Arabidopsis thaliana: one gene and its partner. The protein of the gene in region 1 interacts with the protein of each later gene in a pairwise test. Each region holds a gene or a part of one and is shown in the gene's direction. Other genes may lie near its edges. The genes, in order: NDT2 and ABCG1.

Region 1 (8,540 bases):
TCCAGGTATAATAAGCTGTGACATATCTTGCTCGAGAAACAAATCTCAAATCATTTGAATCTATATACAATTATCTGATAAATGTCAACTAAAAATATATTTATTAATGAATTTGAGAAGTTTCCATATTTATCTGACGACAAAAAAAAAAAAAAAAAAATCCAAACGACACTTTATAATTTCTAGTAGATATTTGAGAAGTAGTCAACTTTCCATTTTTGAAGTGTTTTTATTACCTATAATAATAATGAAGTTGAAGTTCTTAAAAAGGGTATATTACGAAATTTAACTTTTTACATGATTTATAGATCCCACAATCTTTTACTATGACTTACTCATCAAGATTCAATCTGGTTCTTCTTTTTGGATGTGTACAGAAGAAAATATCCAGCTCCTGCAGCCATCACTGACATAATGAAACCTGGCTTATTGATCTTGAACGGAATCTTGCTAATGATATAACCCACTGTACACCGTATCGCAAAACGTAATCCGCAACTTGCTTTGAACTTTTGGATTGAGAATCCCTGGATCAAATCAATACAATAAGAATGAGTAGTGAAGCAGTGCTAGTAACATTTGCTAAGAACTTTCTAAGCTTGTCTTTTTGTGATATGTTTCCTAAGAATGTAAGTTTTTGTGTGCATTTGGAATTAAAGAAGAGTTTTACCTCTGGTAATTTGTTTTCTACTGCCAGCTTCTCGATATGCAGCCTTACGTTTGATGATGCAGCCCACCAGAATTTGCGATCCACACTTGAGTACACCTTAGCAACAATGTCATATAACGTCTGAGCTCCATCCACAGTGGCCTTTAGGATTGATTTTTCTCTGCTTCTGCGGTTTCTGGAAAACAAGATCACCCCTCCCATCAAAATTCCTTTATATATTAATGTATCAAATATCTTAATAAGTTCACTCTACTTTTATCTGATCAAACTGATAGACAAAACAGTAACAGGGTTTTAAACATCAGATTATCCACTACAGCATATTCTTATTCATACTTGAGATATCCACAAAGCATGTGTTTCGGCCACAAATTGACCCTTCCATGCATGGGAATCACCACATTTGGAGAAAGCTCCAGGAATTTATATGTCGACTGAAAGTAATCCTGCAACGGAAAATTGGAAATTAAGGAAGTGCATTTACTATCTTACCCAACACCTAACATTGAAACAACAAATTTGGAAACAAAACGCTACTAGAAAACATCGCAATCTACCACAGGTAAACCCTCACACTACGTTTGCATTGAAGTATTCAAAACAGAAAACAGACTGAGCATGCTTATACTTACTGTCATGTTACCACCTGCCCTGATGTCCAAGAAAGCACTTCCTTGACTGAAACAACCCAAAATGGTGAGTTAACATTTCTTGAGTTAATCAAATTTGACTGATTTGAATTAGCCTATAGCAACATAAATTTTAGTTGCTTGTCTTACCCAACACAATGATCACCAACAATCAGAGATTGAGTGGAGGTATGAAGTAGTGACATATGACCATCTGTGTGTCCCTGGAGTATTTTACTTAGTTAAGAGTTTATCAAAATGTATACTTTCAGCAGTGCAGCCAATCTGAGAGCTATCAAGGATTTAAAGAGCTGGATGGTACCGGAGCAAAAATGACGGTCAGTTTTTGACCGTTGACATAGATGTTTTCTCCTCCAGAAACTGGGGTATAGTTACCAGACCAACCACCTGGACTCAGAGAGTATCCGAACATTAGAAGGTGGATTTTATGAATGGAAAACAATATAGAAGAATGATACCAATGCGATGCCTAGTTTTAGCATGTGCCACTAGAATAGCATCAGGATTGCTCTCTTGTATAGCAGAAAGACCTGAAGCAGAGATGAAGATGAATAACATTGGCAATGGCATAAAAATGTTTTAGAATTTCAAGAGAGTAAAAATAAAAACAAAAGAAGCCACACCAAAGCAGAACGAGAAAAAAAAAACAAATCTTTACCATCAATGTGATCACGATGGTGATGTGTAACAAAGACAATTAGCTTTCTAGGTAAAGCATCAACGATTTTCTTGAGCTGGTTAAGACAAAAAAAAATGCAGTTGTGAATAATTTAAAATGCAAAATGTAAAGACCAGATCTTCTGTACCATTCGAAAAAGAAGTAAAGAATATAGTATGAAGAGCGAAAACAACACGTAGCTACTAGCTAGGGACAAACCTCAACGTGGAGTTTAGAGAGACATCCAGGATCCACTATCAACGCATCCCCATGAGCTACAAAATCAGCCCCTTGATGGTCCCCCAAACCATTTTCTGGAGCAAACACAACCAAATTTGTTGTCCTGAAAGGTTTCAATGTTTTGCTATGCATCGGCACAATCATAACACCAGGTGGATATTCCTGAGATAATAAAGACATTAAAAAGTAGGATTCTAGTAAAGAACAACATCATAAGATGGAACCGCTTTGATGAAGTAAGATGAAGAAGACAAGTATAGATACTTAGATAGTATGGCAACAAGAGACCTGGATAGCCAGAGAAGATGACAACTTATGCTTCATAGACTGACGGGAACCATCCCCAAGTCCAAGTAGTACTAATGGTCCAACGCGATCACTGCCCAATTTTACATCTATAAGAGAGTCGAAGCATGATTCCATTGACATCCACTTACAGTTGTCTGCACAAAAACAAAACTTTTTGTTTCAGTTTCCAATTCTCAACGTTTCTTTCGAATCGAGTGAAGCTATTTCCATAAGCTCTGAAAATGTGGAAATCAAGAGAGATTAATACTGTATACTATCGAATTAAGGACGACCTTGTAAACTTTGATCTGTATTTAAGAGCTTCCCGGAGATAAAACAAGTACGGACACAAGAGTCAGGTCCAAACTCAGGCTCTTCTACAGACCTGACGAATCTCCACTCTCCTACATCGCTAATATCAATCCCTAAATTCTCCAGCAGCTGCATTTACTCGGAAACATTAATTCGCGGAAACAATGAGAAAAAGAGGACAGTGCTAAACTCATAAATTACCAGAATCAGTGTGGATTCGAAGTCGAAATTCATCAAATCAACCTCCTCCGAGCATGAGTCAAGTATAGAAATACTAAATCCGGACCTCACTCCGTCTTCCAGAGCCTGTAAATCTGTTGACGGTAAGTCCCAGAGATCGGAATCGACAAAGGAATCGTAAGCTTCATCTCCAAATTTCGCCGGCTGTTTTTGCTTCTCGAGTAGGAACTCAACGTCGTCTCTAGGGCTCTTGATGATCAAAGCAAGTTTCAGATTTCCCATTTCTGCAGAATCGGAATTCACAAGTGTGAAGAAGCTCGCCGATGAAAGTTTTCCTTGTTTTTCAAAGTTTAAGCGGACCCAAACCAAATCGGTTAAACCGTTGGGTTACGGTTTAGCTTGGTTTGATCGAATTATACCGGATTCAGTCAGATTATAATTTGATAATCAGATAGAGGCAAAAAGTGTTCAACTTTCTTTCTTCTTGGGTTGTGTGTTGTTGTTGTTAAATGTGTGACGTCATCTCAAACCAACTGTGCTTCTTCGGAATCTGTAAGAAAAAAAATCGATCCTTTCGACTAGGGACCGCCTAAATCATACGCAAACAAAGTCTCTTCCTTTACCCGTCTACACGTTCGAATTTTTTCTCCGGGTCGGGTCAATGTCAAGAACGACGAGAATTGTATATAATCGTCGATTCACGTGGCCGGGTTTATCATTTACTGCTGGATCTCGTTTTCAATTTTGAGTCAGATTCCCCCCAATTGAGAGATTCTAGGGTTTTAAGATGATTGAACATGGGAACTCTACCTTTGATTACCGGAGTATTAGAGAAGTCGCTGCAAACGCCGGCGCCGGAGCCACCGCAGGTTAGTTTCAATTATCTGTTTTCAAGTTCGTCTTTTGATTCGGGTAGCTGAATTTTTGTTTTGTTTGGTTGATTTGGGGATTTTTTTTCAGGGGCTATCGCGGCGACTTTTGTTTGTCCATTAGATGTGATCAAAACAAGGTTACAGGTTCTTGGTCTCCCTGAAGCTCCAGCCTCTGGTCAAAGAGGTACTACTTGCTTCAAACTGAGCTTAATTTTCTTAAGAGTATGACTAGTGTATGTAGTTGTAGATCTAATGTGATGGGTATGAGAGATTGTGTGAATGCAAGTAGTTTGTTTCTGTTTAAGTTGTTGCATGTTTGATCAAGACTCTCTCTTGTTTGAGTTATTGGATATAGGTGTTAACTAGCTACATCTGTTTGTGATATCAGGTGGTGTAATCATTACAAGTCTGAAGAATATAATTAAGGAAGAAGGTTATAGGGGAATGTATCGAGGGCTTTCACCAACCATCATAGCTCTCCTTCCAAATTGGGCTGTAAGCACCACTGTTCTCTACAGAGCTTTGTTTCTTCAAGTGAATTTGTCTTGTCATAAAAGATATTACTTGCCCAACATTCTCCTATGGATCTTCTATAGGAGATATTTTATGTCTTCTAATCGATTTTAATCTGTTTTTGAATAACTTTAGTTCCTTCCTTAATCGTTATTCTGGTATCACGCTCAGGTCTACTTCTCAGTTTATGGGAAGCTAAAGGATGTGCTGCAGTCAAGTGGTTGGTTTTCCTTTGTTACAAATCTTTTGTGCGTTGTAGCTTATGCTTAACCGGAAGAGTATCATATATATATGCTCAAATAACGTATACCAAGTCTTTTTTATCAACTGTTCATGTTTGACTGATAGATGGCAAGCTTAGTATTGGGTCAAACATGATAGCTGCAGCTGGTGCTGGAGCTGCCACATCTATTGCAACTAATCCGCTTTGGGTTGTCAAGACAAGATTAATGGTAACTTTTGTCTTCTTTCTTTGGTTTCAGCTTTACTAGACATGTTGAATTTGTTTTATCATAAGATACTTGACCTAACCTCTTACCGTTTTTTCAGACGCAAGGAATTAGGCCTGGTGTGGTACCTTACAAAAGTGTAATGTCTGCATTTAGTAGGATTTGTCATGAAGAAGGAGTGCGAGGGTTGTACAGGTTAGTGTCTCATATGAAACTGAAAGTTCCGTAAATTTGAACACCTTTTTCTTGTGATATTTCGTGCTTATGTTAAACGTTTTAGTTATATTGCTTATATTTCCTGTATTGGAACAGTGGCATATTGCCTTCTTTGGCGGGAGTAAGCCATGTCGCGATCCAGTTTCCAGCTTATGAAAAAATTAAGCAATACATGGCAAAGATGGGTAAAACATGATTCCTCCAGTAAAATATTGTTACATAATCATGTGCTGTTCCCAACTAGTTTCTGATCAGAGCTATAAAAGTTCTCAGATAATACATCCGTGGAGAATCTGAGTCCTGGGAATGTTGCTATTGCCTCCTCCATCGCGAAAGTGATCGCCTCTATTTTGACTTACCCACACGAGGTCTCTCTTCTTCTTCTCTTTTGTGCTCTCTTTACCTCACTCTTAAGCTCATAACTAACTATAAACTGTTTTATGTTACATCCACAGGTAATTAGGGCGAAGCTTCAAGAACAAGGGCAGATTAGAAATGCTGAGACTAAGTATTCAGGAGTCATTGATTGCATCACAAAGGTGTTCAGAAGCGAAGGGATTCCTGGGTTGTACCGTGGATGTGCCACTAATCTACTGAGGACAACTCCATCAGCAGTTATTACATTTACAACCTATGAGATGATGCTTAGGTTTTTCCGACAAGTTGTGCCACCAGAGACTAATAGGTCGGATGATCGCAGAAGAGAAGAAGAAAGAAAGAATTTAGTTAGCCGACGAGGAGAAGAAGAAGATAAAGATTTGGGTTTGAGAGAATCACAAACTCAATCTAATAAGATCAGCACTCCCCATATCCCTCTTGGAAGCAAATAAAACTTTTTCAGACTCAAGCCATGCTTCATAGGTTTTCTTTTTTTCGATGCCATGTTCCAACTACGTAATTTTTCCCCATGCGGTGATTGAGTTGTAACCTTTTCTCGTGGTTCTAACAAATGTGTAAACTATCAATAAACTACTTTTTGGCCCTTTTGATGATCAGTGAGTATTTGAAGATCGTATTCGTTGTGGTATTCTAAGAGTTATAGTTGAGATCCCTCTCTGTTTCACACTCTATGTGCAAATTTGCAGGTTGTGGGGTTTATAGAAAAGTAGATGCTTTGGATGGAATTTTGTGGGCACTACAGATTTCTTTCCTTCTTCTTTCTTGAAACTGCCGCTTCAATTACCACCAGGTAATGGGATCTTCTTCCTCGGGTTATATAAGCTTTTAGCACTTTGAAGGAACAACTATCACCGAGGAAAGACGTGTTTCTGGTTTGAGAGATTTTTCTTGGATGCCTTGGGAATCTTGCCTTTTATACCGATAATGTATCCAAATTAGTTTCTGGTATCAGATCTGGTGATTAACAAGATAGATAGGCCTGGAATCAGTAGATAGATACCACTGAGATTATAACGGAGCTGTGAATGTGAGTCAAGTTACCTCTTACTGTCAATTTTTTTTTTCTTTTTATAAATACCTTTTGATTCAATCTTACATACAGTAGACAAAATTAGACATAGAAAATTGGTGATTGGTAGTTCAAGTTATGTCACTATGTACATTCTCTCGGTACCTACTGCTTCACAACCCTGTGCCTCATCTTATATCGTTCCATTGAAACAAATGAGAAGAAACCAATACCTGGTGGATCCTAGAATTCGTAGGCGCTGGTATTCGGTGTGGTTGATTTACTTGTCCATTGGTCAGTCACAGAGACTGGTGAACGTGGGAATTTCATATTTTTTAATAGTGCAGCCTCACCCCAATCTGGTGGCGAAGGGTGTGGAATTATTGTCTCCTCTCTGTAGTCGTAGGTTGGACATTTTTGCTCCTCATTCTGGATTCCTTTTAGCTCGTGCACAACTTGTTCCATTGTGGGTCTCATTGTATTGTCTTGCTGCAAGCACTGAAAAGCCAACTCTGCCACCATTGTAGTCATTTTTCTAACTCCTTCATTCGTTGCATATCCAAGATTCTGATCAATCAGCTCGTGGGTCGCATGGTTTTGTATCTTGTTTATTGCTAAGCTTGATAGATTGATCTCACTCTTGCATCTACTTATATCAACAGCAGGCTTCGATGATATCAGCTCGACAAGCACCACCCCAAAGCTATACACGTCACTCTTATCTGTTAGATGATAGCAGCGATGATATTCTGGATCCACGTATCCCGGAGTACCCTGAGGAGCAGTTGAAACATGAGTTACATCACTCGGGAGCAACCTGGATAGCCCAAAATCCGCGACTTTTACTCCGAAATTCCTGTCGAGGAGAATGTTTGTAGTCTTGACATCCCGGTGTATGATATCCGAAGCATGAAGGTAAGCCAATGCACTCGCTGTTTCTATGGCGATGCTCAGGCGCATTGACCATGTTAAAAAGCCTTGGTGTGGCGTGTTTTCGCCATAGAGATGATCTGCAACTGTGCCATTTGGAATAAACTCATAGACAAGGAGAAGCTCTCGGCTGCGGCGTGAAGTGCATCCATAGAGGGAGACTAGATTCTTGTGATGGAGACGTGTGAGGATTTCTATCTCGTTCATGAATTGCTCAAGTCTTCTGTAATTGTGCTCATAGAGACGCTTCACTGCAACTTCTCGCCCATCACGCACTTTTCCTGAGATCAAAAAGGAAGAAAAGATTAGCTTAACAGAGATTTCACACTTTTCTAAAAGTGTTCGTGCTCTGATCAATCTTACCATAGTACACAGTGCCAAAGCCTCCATCTCCTAGTAATCTGTCTTTACTAAAGTTGTCTGTTGCTGCTTGAAGTTCCTTATAGGAGAAGATTGGTATCTTAAAGAAGACTTGACTAAACTCAACGTCAGATTTTGAGTTGTCTCTGGAGAGCTCTGAACCATCTTTCCTTCTGTAATTCCTATGGATGACAGCAAAGAGTGCCACCAAGATGATTATCAAGATGACAGATCCTCCTATTCCTATCGACAATTAGAGAGGTAACTGATTCAAATTGAGTATTTCATGGAAAAAGATGAAACTTAAGGAGGAAAACAGGACATCTGTTTCTTACCTAATCCTAGCCTCATCTCCGCATGGTAGTTATTTGGTTCTGCAACAAAGGGACAGAAGTCGAATTATAGTCATATAGCCAAATGTTTTGCAAGTAGAATTGCAGAAGTTATGATCATGTTTCATTGTGTTCATACCTGTGTTTGCGCCAACGCAACGGTAATTGTTTTTAACCTTTGTACATTCTCCACCGTTATTGTGGCAGCGAAAGCAGTTCCCAGGCAGTTCTATATGAAGAGAGAAGGTAGCATTTACATCAGACAGGTTCCCATTTTTTGGAGTCACCCAGCTCTCTGGAGTCTTAATAGGTGAACACCCTGAAACATCATGATCATCTCCCAAATTGTAGTACAAGCTGCTTCCTTCTCCTCTGCAATTCGCATAGCTGAAACCATTCTTCCTACTACTATTGTTGCATTTGTACAACGTGTTCAATTTGAGCCATGGAGAATCTGGAAGA
Region 2 (7,975 bases), on another chromosome or scaffold:
TCGTGATCTCTCAAAGGAAGATAAAAATTTAGGGTTTTTGAAAAAATATATATAAATCTGCCGTTCAAACTAGAAATAACCAGGATATTTACTTCCCCGATTATCCAGAGGGGCCGATTATGCAAACATGGCCCAATTTAGGGAAGTTCAAAAAAACAAAAAAAAAGTTGAGAGTTGATATGATTTGGGTAAAGTTAATGGAGTATGGTTTTAGACAATTAATGATCTATGTTTAAATGTGTATAACACATGTCTTGATCAAAAAAATAAAAAATGGAAGGCATGTTGTTGGCGATAACCTTTACATGTAATTGAAATTGAAAATAATTTTAGCACATCGAAAATAGTGATTTACAGTTTAATTCTACTAATACGTCATTAGTTATTGGAACCATTACATGTAAACTGTCGTAGTAATTAACTAGTAATTACAAAGTGTTTTAACAAATATTTTAAAAGCTAGTGGTCCAAATCAATTCTAAGCTTTTGTAATATAGATAGAACGAACTTTCCCGTCCTTTGATCGTGGCGACAGGAAGGGAAATACAGTTAGAAGTTAGTAGGCAAAAAGTCAACAAAAAATTAATTACGGCTAAAAGTCAAAATGAAATTGGAAATGTAAAGCATTCCCTATCACATTTAATGCTTACACATGTTAACCACTAACACCGCCTAGGATTATATTTCTAGAAAGGTAGGAATATGATAGTGAGTTACGTTCAAAATTGGTTTTGAAATCAATGTGATTGGAGAATATTTGGTAAGAGAAACCAATATTATGTGACTTTCATGATGATGCGGATTTCGTGATTAGTATGTGTACCAATTGATTGTCCAACAATATCAATTTGGTAGCAAGTTTTGAAGAAAAAAATCCATTCTTTTCCCCAAAGCTTGTGTCGGATAACGCTGATTTGTACTGCCTAACTAAATTAATAACACTAGCGAATGACATGAGTCATTATCAAACTATTCGCACGTTATATTCATTCATAAAAGCTTCGCTACATTCTCTATAATTACATCAATCATGCTTTGTTCAAAATCTCTTAAATTAATCCTTCGAATTTTTGGCTAGATAATTGATGTTTTAACCAATCTCTTATGTGCACACCATAGTAAGGACGATCGTAAGAGAAAGAGATGCCACTGATATTAAAGACTCCACATCCTACATCGAATTCATATGATCTTATCCAAGTTCCGTCGTGCATGAACAAGTACCTGAGCATTAACTCAACAAGCTAGACCTTTACCGATAATATCTTCACATATAAATTACCTAATTGGTGACCCATTTGACTTTAACCCACATGCATCGCATTAAATATGAAATCATCTTCTTTAACAATTAAAAAAATGAAGTCATCTTATTGACCCATCTCAATACAATTTATGCGACAAGTTTTCTTTTTACAATATATTATGAATAAAGTTTGGATTGAAATTCAGAGTAATATCACTTAAGAAGTTAAGATATTACTACATTAGGTACCAAAAAGCGGCCCGTCAAAAGAAACAAGCTAACAAAAAGCATTGGGATCGAATAGAATTGACTACTGACATCAACCCGCAATTTTACTAACTTTTTTTTTGTTGGGGTCAAAATTTTTACTAACTATTTAAAACTTCCAAAATCACGATTCATTTTATTTTGGATAAATAAAACCTCGATTCATTTTATGGGCTATCGGATAGCTTTTCACTTTCAGTGATCAGAACTTCGCCCATAATAGCATAAATACCATCGTACCAATCTACACTAAGCCTTTTTTTTTTGTTTAATTTGATTACAAATCTACACTAAGGTGTCAACAGAAACCTATTGCAGTACTGTTATAGTTAGAAACTAGAAAACACTGGAACATGATTTTCAAATTAGGTCATCAATTCAAATAAAGATCTTCAAAAATAGCATTTACTATTAATATTACATATTATACCAAAGATGCACCAGTTAAACTGGTATAACACTATATAGAAAGAACCTAGAACATGGCACACCACACAATATTTAAAGCTGAGACAAAATTTTCAAATTAGAATGGCTAGGCTATCTTAACTAGCTAGTTCGTCAGGAGGTTGCGATAAATGATTGATATAATATTGTTATGCTTGCAGTTGCCAATTACCATATGTGTGCACACATAGGTAATGTAGACATGCGTCAGGCGTTGTCCACATTAAAAAACTATGACTTACTCAATAAGGTTTTGGATGCCTAATCTCTTGTCATATAAGTTTCGCAAAACCGACTCGACTAAGCAGATAAGTTACAACTAGCATTTTGAATTAAGGGTTTAAAGTCCAAAAGATTCTTGTTACAAAGAGTTGACTAGAACCTTATATTTATTTTAGATAACTTGACTCGAACCTTGCATGTGCGTGTCGAAGAGTTTTCCGGCATAGTGTTAGGCTTTCAATTAAGTTCTAGGCTTTTAATTAAGTTTGGCAAGTGAAGTAGCTAAGCTAGCTAGCCTTGTAGGTAACCATTTAATATAGATTTACGTTTTGATTTTAATTGGACCGACTATGAAATAGACCAATATAAAACATCAGTCTACATGCCTAGATCCTTGAGTATATATTAATACTATTTCACATGTACAAACCATTTACAAGTTGGCATCAATTTTGCATGACTTTTTTGTTTCGATAATATTTTCGCTTTTTAACTACTTCATCAATCATGTAATTCAAGCTTTGACTACCATAGTAGAAAATTTGTCGTTTCCACTTTTAAAAATTGCTTTTAGTTACCTAATGCAAATTTTTTGTCAACTATATAAAAGGCTAAAACGCAATCAAGAATACTGATTTCACAAAAAGGCAGATTTTAGATGCTTCTAACTAGGCATAGACATTAGACATCACACGGTGTTTGTTACCTCTACATTGTAGTAATCACTTGAAAACTCTTCTTTAAAAGCGACGGGCACCGGTAAAATATTTGGATTTTTTGTGTGTGATTAATTCTACATAAATTCACAGAATTTGAACATTTGTTTACTCAAAAATAGTAGTATGAAATAAGCATTAATGGAGGCAACTATGGGAAACTCACACGAAAGTCCTCGACCCATGCATATGTTAGATGAACAAACACCCTTTACCTAATTGGCTAATTCACAAGTCAATAAAACCCATTTCGCCACGTGTCATATGTTCCCACCGATATTTTTAATTTCTCGTTACCCCAAGAAAAAGAAGAAGAAAAACGTATTTGGTAATTTCTACTTTAAGAAACTTTAGATATGATAGGTGGACTCTTCACCTTCCCCAAATAAATAAACAATAAATCAAAACCGCATTTACATCCAAACAGTCAAAATATCAACCTAACATACTTTTCCCATGCAACTCACCCAGACTTTCTTATTTAACATAGCCTTCGTGTCTTCACACATCCAAACACGTCTCTTCATGCACTCTCTCGCTTCTATATAAGTTTTCAGTAACATAACAGATTTATACATATCCAACAAAAGTCCCATAAACTAAACAATAAACACTGCTGTCTCTTCTTCTTCTTCTTCTTCTTCTTCTTCTTCTTCTAGAACAGTACGTTATGAGAGTGTTTTAAGGCCGTTAATTTGTTAAATCACTCTTTAAAAGTTTTTCTATTGTATCTATGGCTCGTATTGTAGCAGCTAATGATGATGATTCCATGGAGCTAAACACCATCTCCTCTATACACGATTCAACTTTAGGGCAACTTCTGAAGAACGTTAGTGACGTCAGAAAAATGGCTATTGGAGACGAGACTCCAGTTCACGAGTCCTTAAACCAAGACTACAACGATGGTTACATGCGTACAGTTCCATTCGTTCTCTCATTCGACAATCTCACATACAACGTCTCTGTTCGTCCAAAACTAGACTTCCGCAATCTCTTTCCACGTAGGAGAACAGAGGATCCGGAGATAGCTCAAACGGCGAGGCCAAAAACTAAAACCCTTCTCAATAATATCTCTGGCGAGACACGAGATGGAGAAATCATGGCTGTTCTAGGCGCTAGCGGCTCGGGAAAATCAACACTGATCGATGCATTAGCGAATCGGATTGCCAAAGGAAGCTTAAAAGGAACAGTGAAGCTAAACGGAGAAACACTTCAATCTCGAATGCTCAAAGTTATATCAGCTTACGTGATGCAAGATGACCTTCTCTTCCCAATGCTTACCGTTGAAGAAACACTAATGTTCGCAGCTGAGTTTCGTCTCCCGAGAAGTTTACCTAAATCTAAAAAGAAGCTTCGTGTGCAAGCTTTGATTGATCAACTAGGTATCAGAAACGCGGCTAAAACTATTATAGGAGACGAAGGTCACCGTGGAATCTCCGGTGGTGAAAGAAGACGTGTTTCCATCGGAATTGATATAATTCACGATCCGATTCTTCTCTTCCTCGATGAACCAACCTCTGGTTTGGATTCAACGAGTGCTTTCATGGTGGTTAAAGTATTGAAGAGGATTGCTCAGAGTGGTAGTATCGTAATTATGTCGATTCATCAACCTAGTCATCGTGTTCTCGGTTTGCTTGACCGGTTAATCTTCTTGTCACGTGGCCACACCGTGTATAGTGGATCTCCGGCGAGTCTTCCACGTTTTTTCACCGAATTCGGGAGTCCGATACCGGAGAACGAGAATCGAACGGAGTTTGCGTTAGATCTCATCCGTGAGCTTGAAGGATCCGCCGGAGGAACGAGAGGATTAATCGAATTCAACAAAAAATGGCAAGAGATGAAGAAACAGAGCAATCGTCAACCACCGTTGACTCCACCGTCATCACCGTACCCAAATCTAACACTAAAAGAAGCAATCGCCGCAAGTATCAGCAGAGGAAAGCTAGTTTCCGGCGGTGAATCCGTCGCTCACGGCGGAGCAACCACCAACACCACAACCCTAGCCGTTCCTGCATTCGCGAATCCAATGTGGATCGAAATCAAAACTCTCTCGAAACGATCAATGCTCAATTCACGAAGACAACCAGAGCTATTCGGAATCAGAATCGCCTCTGTTGTTATCACCGGATTCATTCTCGCCACCGTGTTCTGGCGATTAGATAATTCGCCTAAAGGAGTTCAAGAGCGGTTAGGGTTCTTCGCCTTCGCGATGTCGACAATGTTCTACACTTGCGCCGATGCGTTACCAGTTTTTCTCCAGGAACGTTATATCTTCATGAGAGAAACTGCTTACAACGCTTACCGGAGATCCTCATACGTTCTCTCTCACGCCATCGTCTCATTCCCGTCGCTCATCTTCCTCTCTGTAGCTTTCGCGGCGACGACGTATTGGGCAGTGGGCTTAGATGGAGGCCTAACGGGCCTTTTGTTCTACTGTCTGATCATTTTAGCCTCGTTCTGGTCAGGAAGCTCCTTTGTCACGTTTCTATCAGGTGTGGTTCCTAGTGTGATGTTGGGTTACACAATCGTCGTTGCTATTTTGGCTTACTTCTTGTTGTTCAGTGGATTCTTCATCAACAGAAACCGAATCCCGGATTACTGGATTTGGTTTCATTACATGTCATTGGTGAAGTACCCGTATGAAGCGGTTTTACAGAACGAGTTCTCTGATGCGACCAAGTGTTTTGTGAGAGGAGTTCAGATTTTCGACAACACGCCATTAGGGGAACTACCGGAAGTGATGAAGCTGAAGCTTCTTGGTACAGTGAGCAAGTCCCTCGGGGTAACGATATCGAGCACGACTTGTTTAACTACTGGTTCAGATATTCTGAGGCAGCAAGGTGTGGTTCAGCTGAGTAAATGGAATTGCTTGTTCATCACAGTTGCTTTTGGGTTCTTTTTTAGGATTTTGTTCTACTTCACTTTGTTACTAGGAAGCAAGAACAAGCGGAGGTGAAAACAACTAGAAGACCCAAATCAAAACATACTTGTATTTTCTGTTTGTAATTCCTTGAATTGTTTAATGAAAATGGTTTCTTTTCATATATATAAAAAGAGGTATGTCTCCTGGATTCCCTTATCTCAAAATCTTATAGAAGAATAAGGATTTCCATATTCACAAAAACGTCTTTACAAACAAATTTGACTTATCTTCCAAACGTTTCCTACTAACAGACTATCAAGTATTATAAACCTAATGTCATACCTGAGATTGTGTGTGTGAGCAGATAATGATGATGATGAAGCCAGAGAGCCTTGGATTATCTTCATTGGTCTCCTTAAGATCAAAAGATATGATGAACTTCGATTTTGCTTTTTCTGTTTCCATCAGACTATAACAAACATTAAAAATATTTCATCATGTACGTGTAAAAAAATCATTGACATCTAGATTTCGATCTCCATGAGCAACTGCGTCTTCGGGTTCTGGCATGAAGAGACTCGTTGATGTCGCCTGCACAAGGAATAACACAACCAGTTCTCAATCCATATCTTGAAAATAAGGATCTACAAGTTTCATAACAAACATATGGCAAATGCAAAAGAAGACTTACCTTGGTATCAAGAAGCATATCTCCGTTGCTGTCAGTAATGATGTTAGCACCATGAGTTTTTAGCCATTCCAAACAGTCCTCCATACCATCGGTCTCCTTTTCATCAGTACCTTCGCTTGCAGCACCAGTAAATCCCAACACTTGGACTATGTATGAGACCGGGATTGTAGGACGACAACTACGAGACATAAAATTCACAGCCTTGTAACGCATCTTCTCCACATAGAGATCTGCAAACATAACAATTTCACCATATCTTTACATATCTACTCATTCAATTGTTTAAATATATCAAGAGAGTTTTCATGTATCATATGACCCTTACCCATGAGGCAACTATTCATGTTTGGTGCAGTCTTGTAGAGTCTGAAGAACATAACATAATTCCCTGATGTGACAGCTGCACGAACTGAAAGAGCATGTCTAACTGCTTCATCCTTCTTATCTTCTTCGGATAATCTTCAAAACAGAGGTCACAAAATTACTCAATCTCATGCATACAAACCCAATTCAAAGAGGTAGTAGTAACCTCTTTGCACTGGTAGGAAGAGATGTTACAAAAACTCAACTATCAGGTAGGTGGACAGAACATTAATAATTCCATTACTAACTCAAAGAAATTGTGTAGCAAACCATATTCTGATATTTCTACAAAACCTTAATTTATAAAAAAAATTCCCATGAACCATGAATGCATCATGCTTAAAAGGAGCCCAGAGATGGGACTTTACAACTACTAACCTGGACATGGATGATAGCAGTTCTCGGTTGTTGTTAGAGTGTAGAGTAATATAGAGTAGACTGTACGCAGCAAACTCCAGAGAGCATCCTTCTACACCTTCCGCATAAAGAGTTTTTAACTGTGACAGGCACTGTAACAAAAAAAAAAATAGAAATCAATTTAGCAAGGCTATACATACCCTAAGAGTTATAGTCTCCTCAGGAATAGACAACAGATGTATTTTACAAGACTTGATGGAACGGTATCATTATATTGCAGAATCAATGCAAACAAAAGCCACAATCCATAGTAACCAGTCATCAGAACTATGCTCCCTTTTGCAAAGTTTCTCTCTGATTCAACACTTTATGTTGCTTTTTTATTTTTTAGAAAATGAGAGACCAGTGAAATTCTAGCAGTGGTTGATACTCTTTAAATTACGAAAAAGACAAAAGTGCTTGATACCGAATTTGAACTAGAAATTCTGATTGATCTATCAATCTATGCTAGCGTACCAACCTGATTATACTCAGGTAAATCCCCTGCCTCCAAAGCTAATCTAGCATGTGTTTCATAAACCTGAAATTGAGATTGCACATGGAACCATTATAAACATGCTAATTGGGTGTAAATAAGATAAACGTTCCAACAGGAAATGAATCCTACATGCAATAACACTCGACATTATTGGAAGTCAGTTATGTACCTTAGCTGTTAAATGATTGTGTATCCGTTGTACTGTGAGGTCTTGGCGAATAGACTTTAGTTGATCACATTTAAAAAGATAATTCTTTTGAGAATC

The links.
Region 2: the proteins of NDT2 (region 1) and ABCG1 interact in a protein complementation assay, tested with the Arabidopsis thaliana proteins (one large-scale study listed by BioGRID).

What each region holds. Positions count from the first base shown.
Region 1 is NC_003070.9:8,899,941-8,908,480, forward strand, and holds NDT2 (NAD+ transporter 2), read left to right. Parts: upstream 1-3,464; 5' UTR 3,465-3,785; coding exon 3,786-3,867; intron 3,868-3,958; coding exon 3,959-4,054; intron 4,055-4,258; coding exon 4,259-4,365; intron 4,366-4,554; coding exon 4,555-4,603; intron 4,604-4,731; coding exon 4,732-4,835; intron 4,836-4,932; coding exon 4,933-5,027; intron 5,028-5,144; coding exon 5,145-5,233; intron 5,234-5,321; coding exon 5,322-5,416; intron 5,417-5,503; coding exon 5,504-5,878; 3' UTR 5,879-6,515; downstream 6,516-8,540. Other genes in the region: AT1G25375 (Metallo-hydrolase/oxidoreductase superfamily protein), read right to left, coding at 339-527, 671-845, 1,007-1,116, 1,303-1,348, 1,450-1,523, 1,622-1,707, 1,779-1,850, 1,979-2,054 and 4 more; AT1G25390 (Protein kinase superfamily protein), read right to left, coding at 6,700-7,667, 7,750-7,989, 8,082-8,120, 8,218-8,540. UniProt on the Arabidopsis thaliana protein: Mediates the NAD(+) import into chloroplast. Favors the NAD(+)(in)/ADP or AMP(out) antiport exchange, but is also able to catalyze a low unidirectional transport (uniport) of NAD(+).
Region 2 is NC_003071.7:16,428,053-16,436,027, reverse strand, and holds ABCG1 (ABC-2 type transporter family protein), read left to right. Parts: upstream 1-3,470; 5' UTR 3,471-3,631; coding exon 3,632-5,854; 3' UTR 5,855-5,943; downstream 5,944-7,975. Other genes in the region: SAC3A (SAC3/GANP/Nin1/mts3/eIF-3 p25 family), read right to left, coding at 6,257-6,352, 6,453-6,682, 6,778-6,911, 7,194-7,324, 7,693-7,752, 7,880-7,975.